3 linked regions of the Zea mays genome follow. The protein of the gene in region 1 binds, or shares a complex with, the protein of each later gene. Links are inferred from orthologs where the notes say so. Each region holds a gene or a part of one and is shown on either strand. Other genes may lie near its edges. The genes, in order: THO complex subunit 1-like, THO complex subunit 6 and THO complex subunit 3-like.

The links.
Region 2: THO complex subunit 1-like (region 1) and THO complex subunit 6 share a complex: the UniProt entries of both Arabidopsis thaliana proteins name them as parts of the THO complex. The link is inferred for Zea mays from reciprocal best matches to the Arabidopsis thaliana genes THO1 and DWA1.
Region 3: THO complex subunit 1-like (region 1) and THO complex subunit 3-like share a complex: the UniProt entries of both Arabidopsis thaliana proteins name them as parts of the THO complex. The link is inferred for Zea mays from reciprocal best matches to the Arabidopsis thaliana genes THO1 and TEX1.

The regions. Positions count from the first base shown.
Region 1 is NC_050096.1:2,946,954-2,957,007, forward strand, and holds the start of THO complex subunit 1-like, read left to right. Parts: upstream 1-3,699; 5' UTR 3,700-3,966; coding exon 3,967-4,095; intron 4,096-4,532; coding exon 4,533-4,616; intron 4,617-4,793; coding exon 4,794-4,868; intron 4,869-5,183; coding exon 5,184-5,274; intron 5,275-5,411; coding exon 5,412-5,557; intron 5,558-5,656; coding exon 5,657-5,728; intron 5,729-10,054. UniProt on the Arabidopsis thaliana protein: Acts as a component of the THO subcomplex of the TREX complex which is thought to couple mRNA transcription, processing and nuclear export. Contributes to the integrity of the endogenous trans-acting small interfering RNA (ta-siRNA) pathway.
Region 2 is NC_050102.1:102,979,882-102,989,939, reverse strand, and holds the start of THO complex subunit 6, read left to right. Parts: upstream 1-4,529; 5' UTR 4,530-4,668; coding exon 4,669-4,914; intron 4,915-4,999; coding exon 5,000-5,109; intron 5,110-5,603; coding exon 5,604-5,680; intron 5,681-6,246; coding exon 6,247-6,292; intron 6,293-6,764; coding exon 6,765-6,825; intron 6,826-6,953; coding exon 6,954-7,007; intron 7,008-7,156; coding exon 7,157-7,237; intron 7,238-7,335; coding exon 7,336-7,375; intron 7,376-10,058. UniProt on the Arabidopsis thaliana protein: Acts as a component of the THO subcomplex of the TREX complex which is thought to couple mRNA transcription, processing and nuclear export.
Region 3 is NC_050102.1:86,884,495-86,894,565, reverse strand, and holds the start of THO complex subunit 3-like, read right to left. Parts: upstream 5,138-10,071; 5' UTR 5,113-5,137; coding exon 4,993-5,112; intron 4,205-4,992; coding exon 4,109-4,204; intron 3,489-4,108; coding exon 3,359-3,488; intron 2,864-3,358; coding exon 2,775-2,863; intron 2,223-2,774; coding exon 2,154-2,222; intron 839-2,153; coding exon 781-838; intron 645-780; coding exon 545-644; intron 1-544. UniProt on the Arabidopsis thaliana protein: Acts as a component of the THO subcomplex of the TREX complex which is thought to couple mRNA transcription, processing and nuclear export. Contributes to the integrity of the endogenous trans-acting small interfering RNA (ta-siRNA) pathway.

The sequences.
Region 1 (10,054 bases):
AATGAACACGGCAAATCACTCTCTCTAGTCACTAGGGCTTTGTGATGAATTGGAGAGGATTTGATCTCTTTGTATGTGTCTAGAATTGAATGCCTAGCTCTTGTAAGTGGTTGGGAAGTGGAAAACTTGGATGCAATGAATGGTGGGGTGGTTGGGGTATTTATAGCCCCAACCACCAAAAGTGGCCGTTGGGAGTCTGTCTGCACGATGGCGCACCGGACAGTCCGGTGCACACCGGACAGTCCGGTGCCCCCTGCCACGTCATCACTGCCGTTGGATTCTGACCGTTGGAGCTTCTGACTTGTGGGCCCGCCTGGGTGTCCGGTGCACACCGGACAGGTACTGTTTGCTGTCCGGTGTGCCAGCATGGGCGCGCCTGACTTCTGCGCGCGCAGAGCGCACATTTATTGCGCAGCAGGTATCCGTTGGCGCGGAGACGACCGTTGCTCCGGAGTCGCACCGGACAGTCCGGTGCACACCGGACAGTCCGGTGAATTATAGTGGACGAGCCGTTGGCGTTTCCCGAAGCTGGCGAGTTCCTGAGGCCGACCTCCCTTGGCGCACCGGACACTGTCCGGTGTACACCGGACAGTCCGGTGAATTATAGCTGAGTCGCCTCTGGAAATTCCCGAAGGCAGCGAGTTGAGTCTGAGTCTCCCTGGTGCACCGGACATGTCCGGTGGCACACCGGACAGTCCGGTGCGCCAGACCAGGGGTGCCTTCGGTTCCCCCTTTGCTCCTTTGTTGAATCCAAAACTTGGTCTTTTTATTGGCTGAGTGTGAACCTTTTACACCTGTATAACTTATGCACTTGGGCAAACTAGTTAGTCCAAAAGATTTGTGTTGGGCAATTCAACCACCAAAATTATTTAGGAACTAGGTGTAAGCCTAATTCCCTTTCAATTCCTCTTGTTGTATTGATTAAATTTATTTAGTATTGTTGATTTTAGTCAAAACCGTCTATTCACCCCCCCCCCCCTCTAGCCGGTGTCCTAGATCCTACAACGAGGTAGCTGGGTTGTTCAAAGACAAACTCGGTGTTAGTGTGTCAGGCACATTGCAGTCGTATCGGAAACCCTATAGTCACCGATTTGATGTCTTGCCATGTCTGCAAGGGACTAGGGTATCAGACTTCTCGAAATTTACCGGTGAAGGCGGGAAAAGCACGTATGAACACACAAGCCATTTCTTAGCACACATAGGATAATTGGCTGATAGGGAAGCCTACCGTGTTCGTTTATTCTCGCTATCTCTGACTGGTACCATATTCGCACGGTACGCAACCCACCTAACTCAATTAACTCTTGGGAGGAGTTAGAACAAAAATTTCATAAACACTTCTTCTCAGGAGAACATGAGTTAGAATTAGCTGGTCTAGCTTCAGTCCGACAAGGGCCTGAAGAATAGGTTGATGATTATATCCGGAGGTTCTAGAACACTAGAAACTGATGCTTTCATATCTATGTCGTGGAAAACAACTAGCAAAATTGGCTTTTAATGGGTTGCAACCTTACTTAAAAGAGAAATTAGATGGCACCCAGTTCTTTTCGTTAGTGTGCTTGCACCAGCGAGCTTTGGCATGTGAAAACCAAAGTAAAGAGGCATCAAAATCGGCTAGCCACAAGATGCATCTAGTGGGGCGCGAAAATTCATTTGATGAATCAACAGATGTATATACCGCTGAACTTGTTTGGCCAACATAGGCTAAACCTTCTGCATGTTTTTCTTTGCAGCCGGTTCAAAAAAACGGTAAGAAAAAGTTAAATTTACTTTTGGTGTTGCCAAATGCGATAAAATATTTGACGAGTTACTAAAAATGACAACATTAAATTAACGTATAATATTCCTCTAGATGAATTAAAAAGATGTGATTACTATATGTGGCATAATTCTTTTTCCCATGCCACCAATGATTGTAATGTTTTTCGTCGAAAGATACAATCGGCCGTAAATGAGGGTCGATTGAGTTTTCATTAGTTGCAAGTGGACACGTAATCATTTGCTATCAATATAATAGAGCTAGCAAGCAAAAAGGTATTGGTTCGGCCGGAAGTGGTCGATAAAGGCAAATGCAAAAACGTCGTCATTGGCGATCCTCGCACGTCGAATATATCACAAGAAGGGATTGCTCGGAAATCTCTGGATAGAAATACTAACAAGTATGGAGGCACCAGGGGCTGGTTCAATCGAGCACTCGAGTAAAGCTCCCTGACTCGAACATTGCAGACTGTCCGTCACCTGCGCGCGGACGACCCGGTGCTCATGCAGACGGTCCGGCTGACTCAGTCGGATAGTCCGCCCATGGCCAGAGGTGTCAGCCTCCACAAAAAGCAAAGGGGATGCAAGGGCAAACCACATGTAACGCACATGGTCGGCTGGTCAAAACCGACTCTAATTTAATCAATTGCTATCCAAATACGCTAGCAAGAAGGGTGTTCTACGCGATCGGCCAACAAAGAAACCCTAGTCATCCGCTAAAACATAACGGTCGAATAAAACGACCCAAAAGGCGGCGCAACAATCATTGCCTATTCATCCATCTCTAGTGATGTCAGGATACTTTCCACCCGCCTACTCATCGTTGATATGTTATCCTGTGACGATGAACCCATGGTACATACATAGTCCTTTGCCTATTCAGGCTGGGAGCTCCTCCATTCCATACCTTTTGATCCATTGATCGGATGGTCATGGCCGAGAGAGATGCAATCTGAAACGTCCTTTATACATTAGAGTTATATTGAATGATCACCCTATTAGGTCGAAGAGCCGGTGACTTGCATCAGGCTTAGTGCATATGCTTTTGGTTCGTCAACCTTCACCAAAAGGAAGGGGGCATATGTTGAATAGCAAAAATGACACCCGGACCGTCCGCCCTAGGGCCGGATGGTCCGCGGTCCGAACTATCCACGGTGGCGACACAGACGGTCTACACGTACGCAGAATCAGATAGGGTTCCGAATTTCTAGCGGGATTTGTTAGCAAAGCATGTAGGAATAACTTGATGACCGACTTGTAACAGGTCTAGACCTCCACCTTTTATCTGGATGAAGGGGTACAACCGATTGAACCTCTCACAATCGATCCAATCAAATCTACTTATCAATTACCTTATTTGCATCATTCTTCTAATTCCTAGGAGTAGGAGTAATTTTGCCTTAGGTTTAGATCTAGTTTAGTCTTCCACAACAACCTCTTCTTTGACTCTACGCCGATTAGAGGAGCACCAGGCGGCCTGCCGACCCAGAGCACGCCTTGGAACTCTCCCCCTCGATGGGATCTCTCCCGTGGCGAGTTCTAGGATTCTCCACGGAGATGAAGACCCTCTCCACCACTGCGGACCGTCCGGCCCTAGGCGCGGACACATCCGAAAGCCTGCATAGGAGGATCCGCTCTTGTGCCCTGTGCCGCGGACCGTTCGCGCCTCCGTAGAGAGCACACCGCGCAGGTGGTTCGTTTCAGTGGTTGGCATCCAGATCGGCGCCAACAGGGTGATTTGGTTGTGTGAATTTTACAACGTTTAAACTGATGGGTGTATAGATATAGATATAGATTTTAAAAAACAAAAGAAATAAAAAAATGCCCAACGGGGAAGGTAGTATTTGGTCTGTACTGTTTCCTTGCGTGATGGACATGGACTCTCACACTTGACATCCGTTATGGGTCGCAGCCCATGCACAGCCCAGGTTCGCGGTCCATCTGTCTTGTGTTTCTCCTTCCTCATTCCTCAGCTCGAGCTCCTCGACGGCTCGCCAGTCTGCCGCCGCGCACGGCGCATCTGTTCCTTCTGCTCTGCGACGGCGAGCCTCTCCCCTCCCTCCGTGCTCGTATCGTAGCCTATTTTCGCCGCCGCAGCTTGCCCAGTGCTGTTATCTTGTGTTCGGCACCGCGTCAAAGGCTGACCCTCTCCAGGCGCCTGGTAGATCGCCCAGACTCAACCGGGTAAGCCTTACCGCGCACGCCACCATGGCCGAGCCCTCGCCGCCTCCGGTGTCGAACGCTGGCCTCCGTATCCTCCTGTCGAAGGACCGGCCGGCTCCCTCCCCTCCACCCACCGCCGCTGTCTCCAGCCACGCCGACCGCGACCGCATCATCGTGAGCTAAAACTCCCTCCCACTCTGTTCATGAACCCTAGCGCGGTCAATCAGTCATAGTAGAAACTTGAAACTTTGTCCCTGATTTGGGTGGCACGAAGGGTCCCGTCTTCGTCCATTTCCCGCGAGTGGTACTGTGCTAGTGCTAGTGCTAGTGCTGGTGGACTCCCATCCAGTGCCTCCACACGGTTGCAATTTGTTTCATGCATCACGTTTCTTTCTGTTTCGACTTTCGATCGCAAATTTTTTTTTTGAAAGGAACTTTCGATCGCAAAATCACCATGGAACTTCCATAGAGGCGTTGGAAAAACCGTTGGTAGCGGCCTAATTAGGGGTTGTGTGAGAGGATGGAGAAGGAACATTGGAAATTTAGGGGAGTTGTTTCTCCATGCTACCACACGTGTACGCTTGGTGAAATGTGGCCTTTGCTCTTTTCAGGGAGTTTTCAGGAGCGCGTTGTCTAGGAACGAACCCCCGGAAACATTTTCCCTTCAGACGGTTCAGGAAGCAATTAAACCTCAGGTATGTACGTTGAATCTGGCATGCTTGTGAGTCTTGATTTGATGATGAACCGTCAGTGGTTCATGTTATTATTTTCCTCTATTTTATTTGCTTGTGTTTTGGGTAATACCTATCTGATTCGACTTGTCTTTTAGTTCAGTTAATCATCTGATTTGACACACATATCTCATTTCACAGAAGGAAACCGTGTTGGTTCTAGAGGAGAATCAGTCCTTGGAAAATGCTCTTCGAACTTTGCTGCAGGAGCTTGTGGTAACTTTCCATGTGGCTACACTGTTCTTTGATCTCACTTGATGATAAGGTGGTTAGGGAGTGTTGTTGGCGCGTGCATTGTTCTGGTCACTGCATCGTTAGGAATACTATGTTTCAGAGTAGCAGAGTTTTAATGACGATTTCTAAAATAAAACGGAAGACGTGGCTGTATTTTTTTTATTTCAGTCCTAGAAAATTACATTGATTGCTGATTCTGTTTTATATGAAAAGTGCAGGTCAGCAGGTGTATAGTTCATTTGCCATCTTAGGAACCAAAATTGATTGCTGATTCTGTTTTATATTTTTTATTCTTAGTCATCTGCGGTCCAATCGGATAAAAAGATTATGCAGTACGGGAATTCTTTGGATAGCGGAGAAAGTAACTGCCTGATAACTCGCCTTCTTGGTCAGTTACACTTCTTCCAACATTCTATGTTCGAATCTGTTCCTATCTAAGGACTTATGCCATCACCTTCTGAGCACTATTTGGTGCATGTGTAGTATTATTTTCTGTTCTGAGAAACCAATGCTCTTCCATGATAGATATTGTGCTTTACCTTTGCGAAAGAGGGCATGTTGAAGGTGGTATGGTATTCCAGCTGTTAGAAGACCTAACTGAAATGTCAACAATCAAAGACTGCAAAGATATCTTTGGGTATATTGAGAGCCAGCAAGATGTATTGGGGAAGGTAATTTTGATCCCTATTTCGTTTGGTTAGTTCTGGTTAAATAGAGAAGATGCATGCTTGTAACGTTGTTGACTGATTATCGTTTTGGGTTGTTTGTAGCAAGAACTTTTTGGACGTGGCAAACTAGTTATGCTAAGGACTTGCAACCAACTTCTTCGCAGACTATCGAAGGTTAGATTCAGTTGTTCTGCTGTGCCCACCCTTTGAAGTTTATAAATTATATTTGCTGTTGTTCCCACATTTCAGCTTGGCTAAATGGCTATTTTGTTGGCCAGCTGATTTACCTTAGTTAATCTCGTATGTAAAAAAAAATCCCCTACCCTAACCCCCCAAAAAAGACCTGATATGAACTATGTGGCATTGCCAGTACGAAGAAATGGACACCCAAATTGAAAGTTAAAGAGGACATGAACCTGCACCTTGCGCACCAACTGAGATCGGCTCAGTTCCTAGTAACCTTGTCTATTAAACGGATTAATCAAAAACTGAACTGCAAAGTGTGTTAAGTATTGCTGATAATCTTGGCTATAATCTAAATGGTTGATTGTACTGTATCACCAAAATCTTGAACCTCATGAACCCATGGTTCTTTTAACCTACCGAACACCTTCAATTATCACCCTTCGAATGTATTGGAGACTTGGAGTTTTCCAGCACTTCTTTTTGGCTGGAGAGAAATGCACCACTGGTCTTTTAACTTGTCCTACCGTGTCATTTAAAAAACTCGGCCGGGGAGGGAAAGACCGCCCTCCCGGTATTCCATATAAGAAGTGTCAACGAGTCTATCCAGTTGTAACAGCTAGGACCGAGTCTCTTGTTCATGTAACGGCCTCTGCCGATTCTCTAGGTGCATGGCCGATCAGCTGTGATCCGTTAGGTTCGGCCACCGCCTTCTGTACGTGTATAAATAGATCACTTGAGATTAATACAAGTTATGCGTTGATCCAATTCACCTCTTTCATGGTATCATTCACCAGGCCCCAGTGACTTCAGCTCACCGCTGCTCTCACTTTCTTCAACCTCTCGATCCCTCCTCTGCCCCTCTTCCACACGCCATGGACGGCCATTCTTCCTCCTCTGACTCCGACACCTTTGTTCCTGAACAACCAACACCCGAAGACACGCAGGTCGTCGTAGGATGGCGGCGTGCCGAAAAGGAGCTGGTGGGGAGTTGTGGAGCCAGTAGCGCGGCATGGACGCCGATTGAGGAGAAACGTGGCAGTGGAGAGTGCCTCGGCCCAGAACGCTAAAGGAGCTGCACAATGAAGAAGGAGGGTACGCAGGCAATTGTTGATAGTGCGTAGTATGCGTTCGGCTTTCCCATTCTGTTGGGATGTGTAGGGACAGGAGAGGCGAAGTTGTGTGCCATGAGCGGCAAAGAAGGTGCACATAGCATAGGAGTCGAACTCTTTGTCGTTGTCAGTCTGGACAGCGAGAATAGGCAAGCGGAATTGGGTATGAACGTAGGCAAAGAACGTACGGAGGACGTAGGGGACGTCAGATTTTTGACGCAGCGGGAAGGTCCACACATAGTGAGAAAAATTATCAAGAAGAACGACATAATATTTGAAACCAGTATGACTAAGCACTGGTGAAGTCCAGACATCCGAATGCACTAACTGAAAGGGAAAATGAGTAGTTGTTGCTGAAGCAGAGAATGGCAGCCGAGCGTGTTTGCCAAGGCGACATGCGTGGCAATTGTGATCGGTAGCCTTATTACAATGAAAAGGGAAATTATGAAGAAGCTGAGACAGAGCCGGAGTGCCGGGATGTCCGAGCCTTGCATGCCATAAGGAGACCGACGAGGCTGATGAAGATGTGAGGCCGAGGTGCTGCAGTGGGCGGAGTGGATAAAGATCGCTGGTGCTGTTACATCGGAGAATCTCCACTTTGGTTGGTTGAGCCTTGATAGAGAAACCATCGGAGTCAAATTCAATAGAAACATTGTTATCGCGAGTTAAACGGCGAACGGAAAGAAGATTCTTAACCAGCGAAGGACAAAGAAGAATGTGATTAAGACGAAGAGGATAATGAGAGGTGGGCAGAGTGGCGGAGGCACGGTTGTGGACAGGCAAAAGGGCACCATTGCCAACCGTGACTGTCGCAGAATGAGGTTCGAAGGAAGACATCGAAGGCATACCAGAGGTGGACGACATGTGACTGGTTGCGCCGGTGTCAAGGTACCAGTCAGAGGCGGATGGAGCAGTGGCGACGCCGGCGGAGTGAAGGGCGGAGTACAGGGCTTGGGGAAGTTTCGGAGTTGACGGCGCATACATCTGAGTCACAGCCATCGCCTGCTGGGGCTGGACGGGTGGACGAGGTCCGAGGACGCCCGCACCTGGGGCACGGAACGGCATGGGCCACGCCTGGACCATGCCAGTCCAGGGATTGTAACCCGCGGTCCATGGTTGGCCTGCAGGGGCCCGTGGTGCATAGCCGCCGTTGTTGGCGGCTCCAGAGCCGCGCCCGCGACGCCTGTTGCGAGAGCGCACACGAGGAGCGCCAAAGCTGGCAGATCCAGTGCCTGGTGGAGCGGCGGAGGCGTTGGAGTTGGCGGAGGAGCTCTCCCCGCCCGAGGACTGCTTGGAGCCGGAGCTGTGGCCAGCGGCCAGAGCCTGAGCGGCGTCGGTCTTGGCGTCGTGCTCCTCGCCCAACTCCTCGAGCAAGAGGAACGAGCGAGCGCTCATGAAGGTGTGTGGTGGGAACTTGGCGGTGATGACCGGCTTGACATGGCGAAACCGAGGATTAAGACCGCGTAGGAGGTTGAGCACCTGACTTGGTTCGGAGACGGCGTGGCCGACGTCGCGAAGCTGATCGGCGAGGTGCTTCAGGCGAGCGTAGTACTGGGTGATGGTCATGTCGCCTTGTCGGAGACTGCGGAATTCCGCCTCGAGGTAGACAACACGCTGGAGCTCGTTGTCACGGAAGAGGTTCTCGATGTCACTCCAGAGGGAGAATGCAGAACGCTTCGGTGTGTGGACGATGTCGAACACCGATTTGGAGATGGTAGTGTAGATCCAGCCGACGATGCAGTGGTCAGCCATGTGCCACTCAGCGTCGCGTTCGTCCAGCGGGGGCGGCGAGCGAACATGCTGAGCGAGACCGAACTTGCCGAGGACTTCATCGAAGAAGCACCGCCAGTGGCCGTAATTGGCCTCATCGACGTCAAGGGTGACAGGGACATGAGCACGCAACCCAGCTGCCCATCCCTGACGAAACGTCTGATTCTCCAGGTTCTTCCCACCCTGCAGCACCTTTGCATCCACCGCTACGTCCTCATTCCATGGTGACTAGATCCCGCACCGGTGCTGTGCCTTCACGACCTGCTCGTTTCACGGATTATGCTATGCCTATCTCCAGCAACACATCCGCACCACAAGTTTCTCCCGTGCCCACCTCAGTCCGACAGGCTCTTCGTGACAGCAACTGGCTTGCTGCGATGAAGCTTGAATTCGATGCTCTCCAACACAATCAAACCTGGACTCTTGTTCCTCGTCCACCGGGTGCTCGCATTATCACCGGTAAATGGGTATTCCGGCATAAATTCCACTCAGACAGCACCCTTGAACGCTACAAAGCGCGATGGGTTGTGCGCGGCTTCAATCAACGCGCCGACGTCGACTTTGGCGAGACGTTCTCCCCCGTTGTCAAGCCTACGACGATCCGCACCGTTTTGACTCTCATCGCTACGCACGGGTGGCCTGCGCACCAATTGGACGTCTCCAATGCCTTTCTCATGGCCACCTCACCGACAACGTCTATTGTCAGCAACCGACTGGCTTTGTCGATCCACACAGGCCTGACGACGTCTGTCTTCTCTCCCGATCGCTCTACGGTCTTCGACAAGCTCCACGTGTCTGGTTCGAGCACTTCACCAGACACGTCACTGGTATTGGCTTCACTCAATCCAAGGCTGACACGTCGCTCTTCATTCTCCACCGCGGCAACGATGCCGCCTATCTACTTCTGTACGTCGACGACATGATTTTGTCAGCGTCGTCTCAGGTTGTGCTTCAATGCATCATTCGACAGCTGCGGACTGCATTTGCCATAAAAGACATGGGACCCCTGCGCTACTTCCTCGGCACTGAAGTCCGTCGGGATGGTACTGGCTTCTTCCTCAACCAAGCCAAGTACGCCGCTGATGTTCTCGATCGCGCCGGCATGTCAAATTGCAAGCCTGTTTCGACACCAGCTGACTGCAAGCCGAAATCTTCGACGACTGATGGCACTCTCCTCTCCAATCCATCGGCGTATCGCAACATCGCTGGTGCACTCCAATATCTGACTTTAACACGACCAGATATTGCGTATGCTGTTCAACAGGTGTGTCTCCACATGCATGCGCCCCGCGACGTCCACGACACCATGCTGAAGCGGATACTGCGCTACATCAAAGGCACACTGGACCTCGGCATCCGCCTATCGCCCATCACCAACGCCATCGTCACCGCATACTCTGATGCGGACTGGGCGGGATGCCCGGACACCCGACGC
Region 2 (10,058 bases), on another chromosome or scaffold:
AAAATTGAAAAGCTATTTCGAAAACCAAAATCCATTGGACACTATGTGTACTATTGTTAGGTTTGAGAAACAGAGTGTTCCTGTTGAAAAGCAGTTGAGCTTTTTAAGCTGAGTTGATCTTCTTCAGCTGCAGTTGAGCTTTTTCAGCTGAGTTGAACTTCTTCAGTTGAGTTGAGCTTTTTCAGCTGAGTTGAACTTCTTCAGTTACAGTTGAGCTTTTTCAGGTGAGTTGAACTTCTTCAGCTGCAGTTGAGTTTTTCTAGCTGAATTGAACTTCTTCAGCTGAGTTGAGCTTTTTCAGCTGAGTTGAACTTCTTCAACTGCAGTTGAGCTTTTTCAGCTGAGTTGAACTTCAACTGTGAACCTCTCTGACCATATACTAGTTGAACTTGCCTCCAGGCCAGTTGAACTGGAGTTTTCTCTCCTAAACTTTCTGGTCAATACCAGTTGAACTGGTCCCCATGGGCAGTTCAACTGGTCTGTGGGACATCTGCTCAGACTGTCCAGCGGTCTGCCAGTCAGACCGGCAGACATTCTGACATGTTAGATAGGGGCAGTTGAACCGCCCCCTAGGGCTGGTTCAACCGATCTCAGCCTATTTGACCAGATTGTCCAGCAGTCTGCCAGTCTGACTGGCAGAAAGGCTAACAGTCAGACTAGGGGCAGTTCAACTGCCCCCTAGGGCGGTTCAACCGGTCTCCCCTTGAAAAATCAAGTCAGACAACTACTTTTGAAGAGAGCCTATATATAGCCCCCACACCTATCTCTTCATAACTACTGGTCACACACACATTCATTGCACACCTAATTTGAGACAAAGGCACACTTCTTCCTCTCACCCAAAATTGCTCTCGATTCAACTCGATTGAAGGAGCCCTTTGGTGTGAGGTTTGTGCTTGTGCTCACAGATTTGGTTTTCCTCTCCCGTCTCACTCTAATCTCTTGAGCTTGTTGCAAACACCTCTTGTGCGATTTTGTGTTCTTGAAACCCTAGGGTTTTAAGATGAATTGAGGTTGCTTGGGAGTCTCCAAATTTGTGGACGACCCCAAGAAGTTTGTATTCTCCTCTCTTGTGAGCAAGTTTGAGAAAAAGAATCGCTTGACCTTGGTGGTCGGGTTGTGGAGGATTAGGATTGAAAAAGACCCTGCCCTTTGTGGGCTCCTCAACGGGGAGTAGGACACCTTTGTGGTGTGGCCGAACCTCAGGATAAATCTTGTGTCTTGTGTTCTTGCTCGATCTATGATTGTGATTTTATTTGGCAAGATAGACATCATATAGGTTTACTCGCCGTGTGGATCTTGTGGTGAATTAACTCTCGTATTTTCACCATCCACGCTTAGCTTATCTCTCGCGTTTTCCACTATAAGAGATCCATCTTCTATTTTCTGCACAGTTCATAGTCTAGATTTATTCTAGCAGTTGAACTGGTTCAGAGTAGTTCAACTTGCCTTTATTACAGTTGAACTGGCCTGCACCAGTTGAACTGTAGATTTAACATTATCTCGAAGGTTCTGGTGATAATTTTCAGGTTTAGCCTATTCACCCCCTCTAGACTACTTTTAGTAGGCATCATATCCTTCAGGAATTTTTTGATACGAAAATCCTAAATTATGGGCATACTGGTTTTTACCCTATTTCTTAAATGTAATCCTAAACCACCTAGGAGGAACCGTGTTAAGAAGAGATAAGCAATTGTGCCTTGTCTTCTGAAAAGATAAAAGGTGTTTGTCTTTCAAATCTAGAAAAGACAGTTTTCTATTATGTCACATAAGTCCAACCTAGAATTTAATCATTTTTTGCACTACACATGCAATGAGAGGTGAACATAGCAACCAGTGTGGAACTACTTAAAGGTCTGTTTGTTTCAGTTTTTTTCTGACGAGCTTTTACGAGAATTTGATTGTAGGGATAATATGGATGTGAGGAGAATTTGAGTATTATGTGGATTACATGCGAAGGAAAATGAAGGGGTCCATGGGGTTTAGGATCTAGGAAGTGATGGATTCCTCCTGTCGCGACGACTCGACCGATTGTGTGTTCACGTTAATTTTGAACAACTTTCATCAAAGCGATCCTCATAGAAGCGAACTGAGAAGCTGAGCGTTTGGTAGTCCGCGACAGCTTGTGACAGCTAGAATCAGCAAAAAAGCTGAAAAACAAACAAACCCTAAGATGATGGAAGAGCAGTTCCCTTGCCATGACCAATATTTTATCAAAATACATAGCACAAGCTATGTGGCTAGAAAAAAACCAAAATATCTTATAACTTGGAAATGGAGACTTAAAAATGTTGGCTAGGACATTAGGCTATACTTACAGCCTCCTCACTTGTCATAGATAACTTCATTTGTGTTCTATAGACTATTTTAATGCATGTCACTCCTTTTTTAGCAACTGCATTTGATACATGTGATTATAACCAATGATGTGGAATGTTTTGTTTGCAATTTAGGAAGAAAACAATTTAGAAGTTCGAGTGTTCTTAGATTTAGTGGATGATAAGAAGTGGAAAATTTGGGAAGAACACAGGTAAGTGTGTGTGAGGATAATTTAATTCACTCCCATATAATGTGTGCAAGTGTACAAAATAATGAATTAGCCTGCCATGGTTTGGGCCTGTGTATATAAGGTTCTCGATACAATATGCATGTTTATTTTCATTTCTATCAGCTGATGTATTCTCATTCCTATCGGTTGATGTAACAATGAGTAATATTTTTATATTCTAGAATTCATGGGTTGGTCGATAGTGCAAATTTATTGGCCCGAAATCACTTGCCTCTTATTCCACCATGGTTATCTCGGACTGCCTACTTAGTTTAGTAGTTTGAGGAATTTCTAGCGGGCAACATGTATAAGTGTCTAGGGTTCGGTTGGAAATTGTCAATTCATGTCGCATAAGAATATGTGCGATATTGATATCAATTATAATATATGTATTGTTTGTTTTCATGTAATCGTTGTGCACTAACATTTTATCGAATAATTTGTGTGTCGTCACAACGCACGAGCATTGTACTATATATTTGAAGCACCAGCTGAATCGACATATGATCCATATGCGTTTGTATAACCTCATATATGTACTCACACCTACATGTTAATTTGGTATCTACAACCATTGGAAACAATGCCTATGGGTATCACCCTAGTGATAAATCGGAACATGCTCATAGCTCAAGGTTCAAATGTCATTTTTTGGAAAAGATGTCCATGAAAAGAAAATTAACAAATAAATAATCTCAAATCCAATTTAACCTTAAAAATCATTAGAAAAAACTACATTTATATTTAACTAAAACATGCTCTATTATTAGATCCAGTTTGAAGTTATTTGGGTATTTTATGGGTTCATTATGATGTTTATTTTATAGTAGTTATTCTTCTATCTATAATACTTATAATTGACTTGGAGGAACTAGACTTCATATAGAAGGGTGACCTCAACGATTAGAGAAGTGTTGAGGAGAGCTTTTGGTCGAATATCTATATTTGATGAAAATTGTTGCTTTAGTCTATTTTCAATTGGCTACCTCCGAACCATGTGTCTAAATCGGAGGCTTAGGTCGGCTCTCCATCAAGAAACGACAAGCCAAAGGAGAAGGAAGAAATGAAACTTTAATAGGATTGAACTACCTTAGTACGTTATCGAAGGAGGAAGAAAAGGTGTATACAACACTTCTTCCCTAAAAAAGACATAATGTTAGTCTCTAGTTGTACATAGTCTTCATATAGAGGAGTGGACATTCTTTTTCTGAGTTGGAATGTGTGTAATCTTGATCTTATAAATAAGTGTACAATGCCACTGTTACAAGGGTTGGTCACTTGTATGTCTAAGCCTGTAGCACCTTCGTGCACAAAGAGTATTAGAAGGTATGTCATCTTCAAGCACTTAAATCAGTTTAAGAAACCTTCAATACCTTCCAAAGGTTTCATAACTGCTATGTATTCCTCATCTTTGTTTAATCCAATAAAGGAGAAAGGAAAAATGTAGACCCTTGTAAATTGAATACATGCTTCGTCTACGTTATTTAATGGTACATTAGAACCCATCAAAGATAAAAAAGAGAGAGACTTTACTTTAATTGTGTTGCCCAGTTGCGTTTTTTTACAAAAGCTTCAACAAGTCACCAATAACAAATATCTTAACTAGCTCATCAACTAAGCACTGCATATGAGGTCATTACATAACACTCATAACATTGTCGAAGTCACTTTGCCCTTGCCTTATACAAAATCCATGTCACCATAATGTATCCATAGAAGATTCAAATAACTCCACAAAAGATTCTAGAAAAAGAATTCAAAATTGTTTCATATTTTTGTCGAGCAAAACCATATTTTTGTGTGAATTAGACTAGATTTTATTTTTAAAAAATTGCATAACTCCTAAGGGAGATGTTCTCAAGAAAACCATATAAATATTTTTTCTTATAAATTTATTTGTTTAAAATCATAAGGGAGCGTGCCACAAAGGCTTAAAGCATTTTGATGGAAAAGTTTAAAGATGGGCCAGAAGCCGGCGGAATTCTAGTTGAAAGAAGCCCAGCCCAACCCGCTGTCGCTTTCACTTTTCTGTCGGGAACTCGGAATTGTCCCCGTCTTCCCTGATCCCTTCGCTCCCCGAAGCAAAAGCGCAGAGCGCATCAGCGCAGAGTAGGACAGCCATGGCGACGGCGGCGGCGCAGTCCCATCCGGCATCGATGGACGCGCGCCGGTGGGACGAGTCATCGTACCGCCGCGGCATCCTCCGTGCCCGCGACCTCTCGTCCCGCACCCTCTTCCGTGCCGTCTTCTTTGACCACAGCGACGACCCGGATACCGACATCCTACTCGCCGCCGCCTCCAGCGACGGCTCCCTCGCTTCCTTCTCCCTTTCATCCTGCATCTCCGCATGTTCCGCTACCTCCCAGGTTCGTACCCTTTGGCCAGAACTGATTTTTTGGTGACGCACGCCCAGAGAGGCGTAGAGTGAGTTTTTCTTGGTCTGGTTCTCAGGTGGAGACCGCCGCCACTCTGGTAGATCCTGTCTGCATCGTGCAAGCGCACAGCGGACCTGCCTACGACGTCAGGTTTTACCCCGATCAACAGCAGCCGCTGCTCTTCAGGTGACTGACAGAATGTTTGACTTGGCATGTTTCATACACATGGCTAGTTACTAGTTGAGGCTAAAAATTCGCTTAAATTAGCTGTGGTTAGCTAGCTAGTTGGCTACCAACTAGTTGAAGACTTGGCTAAAAAAATTAACCCACCAATTTGCCCTCCTGTTCGGTGGATGCGCTAAAGCTAATTTTGGCTATTTCTTTAGCGCTAGCAACTAGCCCTTGTATCCAAACAGGCTCTTATCCTTATTGACTTCTCCAACTAGTTGAAGACCTGGCTAAAAAAATAATCCACCAATTTGCCCTCCTGTTCGGTGGATGCGCTAGAGCTAATTTTGGCTAATTCTTTAGCACTAGCAACTAGCCCTTGTATCCAAAGTTTCCAAACAGGCTCTTATGCTTCTTGACAATATTACCCATGGCAATGTGCTTCATTTGGTTGGAGACGGTGATGGGTTAATGGTTGTGCGGTTCTTTGGCTGCTTACTTCCTTGTGGCAGCTGCGGGGACGATGGCCGCATCAAGGGTTGGAGGTGGCACGAGATGCAGAGCTGCCTTGTCCCGCTCTCCCTGCAAGGTGCTGCATTCGAACTTCCATTCTTTTTTGACGTGGTTTCTTTCATAAATGGTCATATGCTTTACCAGGCCACTAGGGCATTGCGATGCATCTAGCACAGGTGCACCGAAAAAATATGCACATTTTTTACAATGGTGTAGGTTTGATGCAGGAGAAATCATGAATCATGCCCTGCACTGGCATAGATACAAATCTAGAATCTTGCCAGTGCAAGGCATGATTCATGTGAAAATGTTTCATAGTTGCTACTTATTTTATCTATGAAGATGCATCAATATCTTTTGTAGTTTTTCTGTGTGTTGCGCCTTGAAGGCCAAGTTAATATTATTTCAGTTTTTTTAATAACCAGTATAGTTGTATTGATAAAAAGTGAAACAAGGCATCTGTTGTTTTTCGTACATGAGAAAAGGTGGAAGGAACGAGCATATGTTGTTTTTCCTATAAAGGAGAAAAGGGAGAACAAACGAGTATCTGTGTGGAAATGCGCCGAAAATTGCCTAGTGCATCTTCTACATTTTGGTCATTGTTATTGCTTTTACCAATTTTTCTGTTGCCTTTGTTCACAGGGGATCATCTGGAACCAGCACTTGACTTGGTCAACCCTCAGCACGAGTAAGGATTCTGTGATAAAACTGCAATCTCAGACCTTCCAGTTTACACCGTTTATTCCAGCAGCTGCCCCCCCCACCCCCCCCCCCCAATTTACCCTGTTTGCATTGTTGCTGCTCAAGGTTATTAAAACGATAAAACGCTCATGGGTGAAGTTTTGACTTTTAAACAAAGTTTAAACTTAGTTTTGAACAACATAGGAAAAATACCAATATATCATAATTTCAGACAATAACATGAAGTTAAATACCAAAATAGAGAGGCTAGTGGCTTATCAAAACTTCACCCATGAGCCAGATTGGACCCTAACTAACAGACTGGGCCCAAAAGTAGCTAATGGTCTAAAACACATAAAACACTGCGTTTTACAGTTTAGAACGACAAAACGTGGTTTCAAGCTCTAATTAGCGTTTTGACGTTTAAACATAGTTTAAACGTAGCTTTAATAACATTGTTGCTGCTGGCAATTTTGTAGGGGTCCTTGGGGTGCTCGATCTCCAGTACCTGAAAACAATGCCATTGCAATTAATAAACAGGTTAACAACTGGAACTTTTCATGTTTTTATATCCTCCAGGAAGTGTGACTGTCCCAAATTTTCGTTCCTCATGCATATTGCTTGGTTCAACAAATCTTATTTTCTGTTATCATCATTCTTCCAAACAGGATGGATCCATTTTGGCAGCAGCGGGTGATGCATGTGCTTACTGCTGGGATGTGGTATGTATTTTCTTAAGGTAAATTGAACACACATAGAAGGAACTGCAGTTCTGCTTTAGAGTCTTTAGCATTACAAGCTTGGATAATATCAATGCTCTGTGCTTGAGAAGGTATCTGAAACTAATGCTAATCATGACTGCTTCTCTCAGGAGACCAGTAAATGTAAAATCACATTCAAGGGGCATGCTGATTATTTGCACAGCATTGCAGTTCGTGAGTCAAACCGCCAGGTTATTTGATTATCTTGGCTTTCCATTATTTGATGTTCATCTTGTCTATAATATGTACAATATGTGATATGTTACTAACTGACTTATTTTTTGATCAGGTTGTAACAGGATCAGAGGATGGGACAGCTCGTATCTGGGGTGCGGGTTTCAAACCATCATCCTTTCCTGTCTTGTGCATTGTATTTTTTTTTTCTCGAAAGAGCGCAGGAGGACTGCGCACCCATATATTAAAGTAGAGGGAAAATAAAGGGCCATAAGGACCCAGGTACAAGCACTCCTTATGGAGGCCAGAAACAAGCATACACAAAGCTATCCATAAAACTGGACAAAAAACACTACAGCCCTAGGAGCTAGGTAGTTTGGCTGGCCAAAAAGGAAAGCCCCTTGGCACCAGCCAGCCGCCACGTCTCCTGTTCATCCTCAGCAGCTTGAAGAAGGAAGGAGATAGAGGGGGTCCTTCCATCGAACACCACCTTGTTTCTATGATTCCAAATCATCCAGGCCCCTAAAGCAACAAGGGAGTCCAGTCCTTTCTTTCCCATGTTGAGGACCTGAGCCGAGGAATTCTCCCACCAACCAAGGAAGGAAGGCTCCACTTGCTGAGGGGATAAGCTGTGTAACCCAAACTTTCTCAAAAGCCTATACCAGAAAACTCTTGAGAACACACAGGAAACCAGCAGGTGATCAATGCTTTCAGGTTCTTGATCACAAAGAGGGCACCTAGCCGGATGGTTCATGCCTCTTTTCTGCAGCCTATCAGCAGTCCAGCATTTATCATGTGCCACCAGCCACAGGAAGAAATGGCACTTGGGTGGCATCCAGGATTTCCAGATTCTTTTGTGGTGAAGAAAGGAGCACGATCCCTGGAAGAGCCCTTCATAAGCAACTTTTGCTGAGTAGTTACCATCTGGCGCTATGGAAAAAATGTGTCTGTCTTCAATATCAGGATGTAGCTGAAAATCCGTTAAAGCTTCCCAGAGATGCAGAAAATCAATCAAGGCCCCTGCTGAGAGAGCGCCCCTAATATCACTAATCCATCTCCTATTGTCCATTGCCTCTTGCACTGTTCTTTTATTGGCAATTCTTTTTGATATGGTGCAGAACAGTCTTGGTGCAATATCAGCTACCTTTTTCCCATTAATCCATTTATCCACCCAAAAAAGAGTATTCGCACCATTGCCAACCTCTGACATCAACACTGCAGAGAAGAAGGACCTGGCAATACTTGGGACCTGAATGGGTAGGTCCACCCATGGCCTCGAAGAATCAGTTTTTTGCAGCCACAACCACCTCATTCTGAGAGCCCAACAAAGCTTAGTCAGGTTAGAAATCCCGAGGCCTCCCATATGTAGAGGCCTACAAACCTTTTCCCAGGCTACCATACAGTGACCTCCTTTAGCATCCTTTCTGCCTCTCCATAAGAATCCCCTTCTAATTTTATCAATTGCATCCAAAGCCCACTTAGGAAAATCAATAGCCATTGCAGTATAGATTGTCATACTAGTTAGGACATGCTGCACTAGAATTCTTCTGCCAGCTTTGTTCAACAACTCTGCCTTCCAGCTTGGGAGAAGATCTGCAATTTTCTCAATAAAGGGCAGGAGCTGCTGTTTGGTTAGTTTGTGTAGAGAAAGAGGGAGACCCAAGTATTTGCAAGGTAGGGACTCCACCCCACAAGGTAACAAGCTTTGAACCTCCAGGATGGTCTGCTCCGAACATCTGATAGGATAAATACTGGATTTCTGCACATTGTTGTGTAGACCTGAGGCATTCCCAAAGATGTTGAGAATGTCCAGAGTAGTGGAAATGTCATTCTGAGTTGGGAGCAGGAAGAGGGCCACATCGTCAGCATAAATAGAAATTCTATGAAGTTTCTTTCTGTTGGACAATTGTTGCAGCAACCCTGTCTCTTCAGCTTTGGCAAATAGAAGGCAAAGGACATCCATGACTAAAATAAATAACATGGGGGAGAGGGGATCCCCTTGCCTGAGCCCCCTTCTATGTTGGATTTTATTGCCAGGGCACCCATTGAGCAGCACTTGAGTAGTTGAGGAACCAAGTAACCCACAAATTATATTTCTCCAGATTTGGCCAAAACCCAAAGCCTGCAGCACCTCAATCAGAAAAGGCCATGAAACCGAGTCAAAGGCTTTTGTGATGTCGAGCTTAAAAAGAAGACATGCCATATTTTGCTGATGTAAAAATCTTGAAGTTTGCTGCACTAATATAAAATTGTCCTGTATAAATCTGCTTTTGATGAAGGCACTCTGATTTGGGGAGACAAGCTCATGCAGATGACCAGCAAGCCTATTGGCCAGGATCTTGGTTACCAATTTTGCAAAGCTGTGCACAAGACTAATCGGTCTGAAATCCTTCACCTGATCAGCCCCATCAAACTTTGGGATCATAGTAATATATGCAGAATTAACTTTATCCAAGTTATTGAAGTTCCTACACCAAATTGCTGAAACTGCATTGAGTACGTCCACTTTGATGATGTTCCAACAAACCTTATAAAACCTCCCAGTAAAACCATCTGGGCCAGGGGCCTTGTCAGCAGGTAGGTTCAAGACAGTTGCTAGAACCTCCTGCTCAGTGAAAGGGGCGTCCAAGATGGAGAGGTTATGAGCTGGGAGGCCGAGAGCAGCTAAATCAATGGTATTCTCCCTGGAGACCGACTGACCAATAAGGTTGGAATAAAACTGATCCACTAAATCTGCTTTGGCAGCATGGCTAGTAATAATATTATCACCGTCTTTCAGCAAGGTCACCAGATTTTTCCTTTTCCGATATCTAGCATGCATATGAAAAAACTTGGTGT
Region 3 (10,071 bases), on another chromosome or scaffold:
CTCCACCTCAATCTATGTGGTGGTATATTGAGCCTCACAGTTCGCAGGACAAAGTATCTAGCGTAGAAAATAAACTAGATCCACTGGCAAACTAAATTGCTCCTCTATGTAAATTCTGAATTCAGTAGTTGCATGAACAGAACAGGTAATCATTTCTTCTCAAACTCACTTACATGTAGGTCATGTCCTAGTTAATCACTCACCCAGAGGTTGCTATTAGTTAACAATTTCTTCTTTACCTAGAGATGAAGCTAGGCTATAAAATTTCAATAATTCTTGTTATTCTGGTCTTTTAAAAAGAAAAAGAATTTTGTTATTCTAATAGCCAAAATATATGTGAATAGGTTGTGGCAGTATTAATTGGAATTAAAGTAATTAATCATGCAAGCATCAGTGTCAAATATTTATAGAGTTCACTGTTACATACATCTTAAATCAAATAGCAGGCCAGATAACCCAATTGAAGTAGTACAAATTACAAATCCAAGTGATCCAAAGAAGTACCAGGGGCGAGAATAAATAAAGAGCCTTCAATAGAAAATACCTATCAAGTGGATCCATTGCAATGCAATAACACCCTGCTGTATGAGCATTCAGCTTGCAGGGCTTTAAAAACTCAAGATCCTTAACCACCTCAACGTGCCCTGCATGACCAATAGACCATGCGGAAACATTAACTGATACAATATGGTAGCACTAGAAATCTGCCAAAATGTAAATACAGTGTTTATTTATTCAGTATTATTAACGTGAGCTTGGAGAAAGCATTTAGTATCCTACCTAACCCAGTAGTAATGAAGAATAGATCTCCAGCTTTATTCCAAGCAATCTCATTCATCTGAGGAACAAAGCAATAATGCAAAGTTGCAAACATTAAACAGTGAAAGCAATATTTTTCCTTGAACACACATGTGTATCAGCATTGAGGGAGAGGCCAAAATGACAAATCAGTCCTCCCTCCCCCCCCCCCCCCCCCCCCAAAAAAAAAAGTGCAAAGTTGCAATGAAGAATAGATCTCCAGCTTTATTCCAAGCGATCTCATTCATCTCAGGAACAAAGCAATAATACAAAGTTGCAAACATTAAACAGTGAAAGCAACATTTTTCCTTGAACACACATAATGTGTATCATTGCATTGAGGGAGAGGCCAAAATGGCAAATCAGTCCATCCCCCCACCCCCAGGTCTGAGTAGGTGGCTGAGTAGCAGGTCCTAAGTTTGACTCCCTATGACAGCAAATTTTATACTGGGGTGAAAAAAAAACCTCATCTGCCGAAAGGTTCATGATCAGCAATACACAAATTAAAATAAAGTATACGAGCGAAAGGGCCTCTAGCTGAGTTAGCTAGGTGGTTTGAGTTCGATTCCCCATGAGAGCGAATTTCAGACAGTGTTAAAAAAATCCTCTTGTCTGTCCCATGCCAAAATATAGGTGTAAGGCTTGGTCCTGGTCGTGGTCGTTCTTACATGGACTATGGTGCCACTGTGTATGGGTGGAGCACTGGAGCAGGTGTCCGGAGGTTTTCTCAACATGTGTGAGGTCTTCTTCTTAATACAATGTATGGGGGTTGTCTTATCCCCCGCAAGTCAAGTTTTAAAATAAAGTATATGTTCAATTATTTGCTAAATTCATACAGCAGTACCCATTTACTCAAAAAACATCCATACATCAAATTGTCTCAGACAAGCACACAAGAACAGTGCTGCTCATTTTATTTCTACAAGGCGAAAGGGTCTCTAGCCGAGTTGTTTAGATGCTCTGAGTAGCACTCCTCAGGTCCTGGGTTTAACTCCCCGTAGGAGTGAATTTTCAGGCTGTGGTTAAAAAAAACCCTCGTTTGTCCCACGCCAAAGCACAGGTCTAAGGCCCAGCCCCGGTCGCAGTCGTTCTCACATGGGCTACGGTGCCGCTGTTTATGGGTGGAGCAGGGGTTCGAGGGTTTTCTCGACCTGCATGAGGTCTTCTTAATATAATGTCATGGGGTCTTAATATAATGTCGTGGGGCGGTCTTACCCCCTCCAGGTCGAGTTTTTATTTTATTTTATTTTATTTCTACCGACATGTATATGTGCATCCTAATCCAAAGAACAGTTGGATCAAACAAAGAGTTGTTAGAAAATGATTCATATATCCAAGCTTCAATTTATAATTACCTCGTAAGTAGACTTGTGTTTCTTAGCAACTTTAAGTGTCCTAACATCCAATATCGTCAGCTCATCCTCCTACAAACCATAACAAAACTGTTATTGTAGACATATAAATATATAATTTGAAAAAATTAGAGTTTCAGTAATTTGTAAACATCATATAGATACAGTTTTATTAACCTTATATGATTCCCCTCCCCCCTCCCCCAAAATGCATGTTTTTCACAAATTACTTAAATTATTTACATAGATTTCTCAAGCTCAAGAATATTTATCTATAACCAAACAGAATAAAACATGTCACAGCTCCATCTAATTGATTAATTAATATGCCTATATGTACAACTTTAGGTGCATAATCCAATTCTATATTCTATATTGTTATGATACTGCCATACTGGTACAGGATTCAGCAATGCAAAACTGTAGGACTTCCAGAAAAGAAACACCAAAATAGCAATATGGCTGAACTTTTTTAACGTACTTGCTGAAAAAGGTATAAGCCAAAAGTGACAGTAGAACAATCCATCTTACTGTAAATAAATAAACCTAACCACATTAATATAGGTCAGTTTTCTAAATGTATCCATTCTTGGCATTAGCAGAGAAAAGTTAGGCAGTACAAACCTTGTTTCCAACAGCTATCTGAGTGCCATCATGTTTATATGTGATGTTGATGTTTTCTCCACTAAGTTCAACAACTTGACATTTTCCACCTAAAAAGACACAAAGAAGCATTGACGAGAAGATAAAATCATTATAACTTGATTGACAGAAACTACCACCAAGAGTCCAAGATAGAACAAAAAATACAACATATATCATCTGAAAGCCAGATGTCACATATGACAAAATAGCTTCCAGATAAAGTTATTACATAATAGATCTTTCCACATCAAATTTGTTGTAAATGTGGGGTAATGTAGGAAATAACAAAGGGCCTGTTTGGATCTTATCAGATTCCAGGTTCGAGCCTGTAGAAGCTAGGATGGTCTCCAAACACCCACCATCTTCACAAGCCCGCTTCCACAATCTCAAAAGCTGAATGAACTTCGCTTCTACCAGCTTATAGAAATTTATATGGATCCAGATGCAGTCAAAATAAAAGATGTATTTCATAGATTTTAAGAAGTATAATGCTAAATGCATTATGAAATGCTAAAGAAAAACTGTGCTTTCTAGCAACATCATGGATGAACTGTGCTACTTACTTCGAGCATCCCAAAGACGAATAGATTTGTCAGCAGCTGCAGTAGCAACTGTATCAGGATGATTTGGATCCCAGCAAAGCTGATCTACACTATCTGTGTGGCCTTTCAGTTCAATATCTTTAACCTTAGACTGTAACAAATTAGCACAAGTTCCCATTTAGATCTTTCAATGGTATAGAAACATACGCTGAAATTACACTCTCTGGCTCTCTGCTACCAAATAGAAAAGCATAGAAAGGGCTATTATTAAGAATCAAGGTAATATACTCTAGTTAAAAGTTATTCAAAACTCTACAGCTTACTCTGAAGATTCCATCGGTTCAGAATAAAACCACGTCTCGTGCTACAAATTATGGTAAAGGTTTCGTTGCACTATAAGAACATTATATGTTGAGTTACACCACAATAACTGATAAACTGAAAAGTAAATTATATTGCGCACAAGCTAAAGAAACAGGAATATTACTGTAAAGTACCTGTCACAATTTCTGCAATAGCCAAAGCTTGAAGTTAAAAGGGAGGTGCAGATGAGAAGCATTTGTCCCTCTTTGGCATATCACGCAAACTAATGCTTTCTTAAGTTCAATGTCATAACTTATTATCTAGGTTCTATAAGATAGGGAATATACCAGTTATGCAGATTTTCAAAATTTACCAAACCGATCATTATCTTAATAAGAAAACAGTGGGGAGCGTATCCCATTCTGTAAAGATAAATTTGGTACCAAGGACAGAAGGAGAGAAAGTTACATGGACATGTGGATCAATGCTCCAGACACGTGCGGTATGATCGATCGATCCTGAAGCAAGCTTTGTGCCTAGGCAGTTCCATGCTACAGAGTGCACCTAATGATAAAAACTATCAGAATGGTGAACACAATGATAAGATTACCAAAGAAATGCATAAAACAAAGCAAAAATAAGAACCCACAAATCAATCTAAATTTTGTACCGACAAGTACTAGGGTAGAGTGGTTTTGCTTTGAAGATCGCTATGAGGAGTTAAGGACAATTAAGCAACACATTCAACATAATGTAAGAAACAAAGAAAAAACATCCTCAGAATGTCATATATTCATCCTGAAAGAAAGATCATTCCTTCTTATTTCTCCTCATTGCAACTTTACAACATGCCCTAAGATAATCTCAAATTTCTTTATAGAACCAGAGGAAAACTGCTCTTGCTCCCCTGCAAGGACAGGCACCACGGCCCCTTTGCTGCAACAAAGGACAACCAAAATAGATTGCCTATTGCAACTAAATTCATTTGCAACTAACTGTGGCTGCAGCAATATTTCGTTTTCATCATGCCTTAACATTGACTCCTTTCATGCTCTATATAAAGAGAAGAAATAGCTAAATCCCCTCTCCACGCTTATAGCTTCGAATCGAAAGCAAGATAGGTCCACGATCCCATCTATGTTCTCAGGAACCAAACCGGAAGGCCCAAAGATTGTTACTTCCGCACCTTGTTTCATCATTCTGCATGCAAGGCCGGAATTTAGGGCCTCACCCTACGAATTGCAACCCTAATGATTGGAACTTCGAAACCTTTCTTCTGGCGAGATTCTGGGTTTTATAGGGGCTCAGAAGAAATTATAATGGGATATTGGGGAGGCGTTGAGAGGTATTACCTTCTTCTTGTGGCCGTAGTATTCCCTCGACACCAGGTCCCTTAGATTCGCCCCAGGGGTCGAGCCGCCGCCGGCGGCGGCGCCACCGCTGCCCTTCCTCTCCTCCTCTCTGCTCTCCATGCGCTCTCGCCCCGTTTTGTCCGGGAGGGGAGTAATCCAATTCCAATCCCAAAGTACACAAACTAGCCCATGAAGAGATCGGGCCAGGCCTGATGGGCTAGGCTACATTAAAACATTCAGCAACTCAGGTCCTGTTTGTTTAATATGATCTAGGCCCATGATTCCATAAGCTACCAACCTTCATTTTGAAAGAAAAACCTATTCCTTAACTGTCACACCCGTTTCTTTGAGACAGAGCCGGGTGCATAGCATATGTGTGCCAGGATTTATTTTCACACATATATTGACATTACAAGTGTAATATATTAAAAGAATGATACATAAGAGCGTAAATAAAGATTATATTAACATGTTACACTTCGAACAGACATAATGTCTTAACCTTTATTCATCAAAGTACAGCGAAACATGGACATCCATCCACAGGAAGATGACCGGGGGTATCAATAGACTAGCATCCATGGAGCTCAGCATCATAACTTCATCTGCAAACTTCTGATCAAAATTTAAGCAAGGGTGAGCTCACTTATGGTCAGGGCTCAGCAAGTGGGGGAAAATGCAAGGTAACAAGGTAAGGCTAAAGTTAAATGCGATTGGCATTTTAGTTGGTCAACATTTTATTAACAACACTTGTCTTACTAATAAGTGTGAATCCCAAGTATTCCCATTAAACAAAGGTATAAGAGTATATCAAAAACACTTAAGTGAAACCACTTAAGCAAACCATTGGCAGATCATCGGATCTCGATTTATTTCCATCTTCAAGTTCAATTATCATGTGAGGAGTCTAGGCTGCTCTTAACCGTGAGCACAGCTGATATATCAGTTTTACACTCTGCAGAGGTGGCGCATCTTTACCCATGAGTCACGATCCCCTTCTAGCTTGGGTTAGCTAGACCTGTATTCACTTCCGAGGTGAATGGCTAAGGTCTCACTACGAGGCTTTTCCCTAGAGTCCTCATTATGCAAATGCTGGAAATGGTCAAACTGCATAGAGCACATCTAACGTAACCAACTTATAGTCCAGTCTGCAGGGTAAAGCTTTGGGAATTATGCATGTATCCAATCTGTCTGAGCCAGAAATATAAGCGCTTGCCAGATGCCCCCGTTCCGGTCGACCACGACCAGCACCCAACATAAGACTTCCCTAGTTATTTAGCCAAGGGCGTCCCATACCACCCTCATGGTAGCACTGTTTTCCCGGGTGGTCACTTCATGTTCCAATTAAATCATATGATCTTGCTTAATCGTCGGATTAGCAACAATAATGTAAACTTACCAATTGGAACCTTAATATCACAAATCGGAGTGACTGCATAAAGTTAAGTTGTAGCAATAGCATAGCTACGAAGGTAAAGTATAATACCCAAGTTTGATCAAGGAATATGGTAGAAAAGGTTAGGTGTATCCGAATAGGTAACCCATCAAATTATGCATATATATCTAAGTTCTTAAAACCTGACCCGGTTTGAAACACCGACCGCATTTCACGGGTTCGGCACCTAACGTTTACTGACGCGTGGCAGTACAGCATCGGACGCGCCAACATGTGCCCCCCTCGTGCCCTGCCTTGCCTGTGTCGCCAATGCATGCTTTCTCTCTCCTCGTGTCGCGCTCCCAGACACCGCTACAGTGCGCACCCACATGCTACAGAGCTTGGTGTCCGGTGCAGAAACCAGCTCAGGTCAGGCCTTGCCTTTCGCCGTTCGGTCGCCGCGCATCCGCTATAGCGTCGCATCTGCCAACTATAGTGACCAACGTCTGTTGCTGGCAGGTGCTCAGGTCACGCCTCGCAGGTCGCCATGCCGTCGCGGCACGCGGAGGCATGGGCACGGGTGTATGGTTGTCCTTCAGTCAGGCGAAGGTCGCATTCGACCGCGAGCCCTAGCCTCCGCTTGACACCATCCGTGATTTGTCCCCATGGAGGCTGATTTGACGCTGCTGTTGTGCCCCCTGCTCTAGCGCGGACCACAGGCAGCTTCCACTTTGAGAAGATGTGTTGGGGTTCGTCCTCGCCAGCCCTGAACGTGACTGTCCTCTCTGACCACGACGATGCGCGCCTTGACAACAACCCCACGTCTAAGCAGTGTCGCGGCATGGACACAAGGTTCGTACTTTCTTCCCTTTTATTATCTCCTCCTCAGTCCCCCTCATCCTCAATTCGCGTTTTTGTGCCCTACAACTGAAGTTTCCCCCAAAATCGCCTTCCTTAGGCCTGCGATTTTCCATTCTTTGTGTGTCGTATCCACCGTCGCCAAGGGATTTGCCTGATGTGGTGCTCGTAGCGTTCATGACCTATCTCTCGAGAAGGCCTCCCTGGGTGCAGGTTCATTTCCATTCTCATGTTAGTTCGCTTGCCAATTCAGAGCTGCCTTTAGGATTTCTCATGCATGTTTACTAGAACTGGTAGATTAGTTCATCTGCTGCTACTGCCATTGTTTCCTCTAGAGTTCAGTTTTTTGGCTTTGTATGCTTCGTTCGTGCCAGGAGCTTAGGGAGGCTACAATTTGTGAAAAAATGCAATTTCATCCAGTAGTGAATCAATCTGCATACAATTATTACCTCCATTTGTCTGCTAGATAAAGTTGTCCTTGGCTTTGATTTTTTAGATTGCAGGGTACATACACTTATTTCAAAAGAAAAAGGATTTCTCCATCACGAACAGTCTGATGCTTTGCCATTCCCTCAGGATGTAAAAAAATGTTTTCCTCAGCTTGAAGAGAAATTATGCTTTGTCAATCGCTTTAACAACTAACTAATTTAGGACCCCCTTCTTCGAGTTCTATTTTTTAGTGTTTTCTCTTTCTGAAGTGAAATAAATATCATGTCTATTTTTTGTAGGACTCGTGCACTCGAAATCTATAGCTTTTAGAGTCTTTGTTGTGCAAATCTTCTTACAAAACCTATGGTTCTCTGGAACACTCTTTAGCATACAAAATTTTTTATGAAGGTTGTCTGATAGACAAAGCTATCGGTGACCCTTTTCTTGCTTCTTTGTAAATGCAGAGTATGCCAACTTTTGTCAAGAAAATAAAAGTCAGTCATCACAAAGCAACCCACTACTTAGTCATTCCCTTATAGTATAAAGCATAGAAATATTCTTAGTAGCTTGGATTAAAAATGATGGTTTGCTAATCACTAAAACAGATAACTAATTAAAGCCCTTCTTCTCTCATTTCCCTTGTGCTTCCATTTTACTCAAAAGAATATGTGATGTTGTTCAAGGGAGTACTATTTCTAATCTGATGGAGGCATGTTTGTAGCAGGCATCCTACCATTGATGCTCCTCTACATCATGCTTCTAGGAGTACTGAAGTTCTGCCAGTTGGTTATGGCGACCAAAGAACGAAAATATGCTTATAGGAAGAGGCAAGTTTTATCAGCAAAAATTGTGCTCCTTCTTATGCCTACTATATAACAGTCCATTTGTGAATAAATACGTCAACACTTCTAAATCGTCGCGCTCACCTAGCAAGTTGGCTGTGAAGAAGTTGTTCACTGATACAGGTTATGGGAGCGTCGTTGGCTCAGGCAGTCCAGACAACACCGTCAGGTCCAAGTAATTATTTGCTTCTATGACAGCCATATGTTATTCTTGATATCAAGGTTTAAAGGGCACCAAACATAGACAGTTTCACAACTTTTCAGTGTAGCAAGCATGTTGAGTTGCAAAGAGAGGATTGCATGCATTTTGCCGTCACAGTTGCAGCCATACCTTTTGCTACACCGTCGCCACCTATTACTACTATTTTGATGTTGCTATGTACATAGGCTTCAAAAGGGATATGTGGTCCATGTTCATGCCTGCTCCGTTGCCTAAATTGGAGACACACGACCTTAACAGGGTATGTGTACTTTAGCTCTTGTGTTCACAACGACATATGACATACAACTGCACATGCTTTTCTAACTGGCTATATTGACATATCCAAGATATGTTGATAACAGAATCATAAACTTGGTTAGATTAGAAAGTAACCTTCCATTTTACTTTGGTGCAAATTTGTTCTTCAAGAATTCAGAAGAACATATAACATGATTGATGAGGATGAACCAAATTCTAGAGAAAGCCATTGGGTAATTATTAATATTTTCATTACATGTGGTTCATTTTTTTGAATGAATAGAAAGTTATAGTAATGCGTAGTTTTACCAATTTTAGTACTGAAATTGAATGGTACCTTGGAACATGCTTGACACAAAAGGTGCTAAAAAAGAGCCACACAAGGGGTTAAAGACCACTAAACCTATCACAACTAAAGATTGTGTGAGCTTCTTCAACTTTTTTAGTCCACTTAAATTCCCTAATGATGAGAAGAAAATTGATGACGATATAGTAAGTTTTTAGCTTATATGTACCTGCTTTTAAGGTTAAATTGAACTTGATTCGAGTTTCCCTTTTCTATATGCTGGCGACAGTTGTAGAATGGAATGGAGCAAGATTATAATATTGGGTATGTTGTTACGTGTTCTGTATTACAGTGGTTACTGTCCTGTTACAGATCATGCTTCTATGGTAAGTGGATTTGATCATTCTGTTGATGCACCAAGACTAAGAATTTGTTTATTACTTCTAAACTATCCTTTCTATATCTGCCTTCTAGGTCTATATACATGATGAGCTTGGAGCCTTGGAGGCTTGAACATATTGTGAAACATGAGTACCAATTGGTGTCATATGACATGTTGATGTATCTAAAAATTTGCAGTGTGGATTAGTGATTGTTGATTTAATGAACATGCAAAATATAAAGCGCAACATTTAATAATACCCGCTAAGAACAAATTGTATACGGGACTGACAATAGCTAAGCAACCAAAGTACCCATTTTGCTTGAGTCTTAAAGCAACATGAGGAATCCAATTTACACGTTTATACATTTAATAGCTCATCAGTTTGCTAGTTTGCCAAAGAAATCAGGATTAAATAGAACAAGGATAGATGCTGAGATTGAGGGT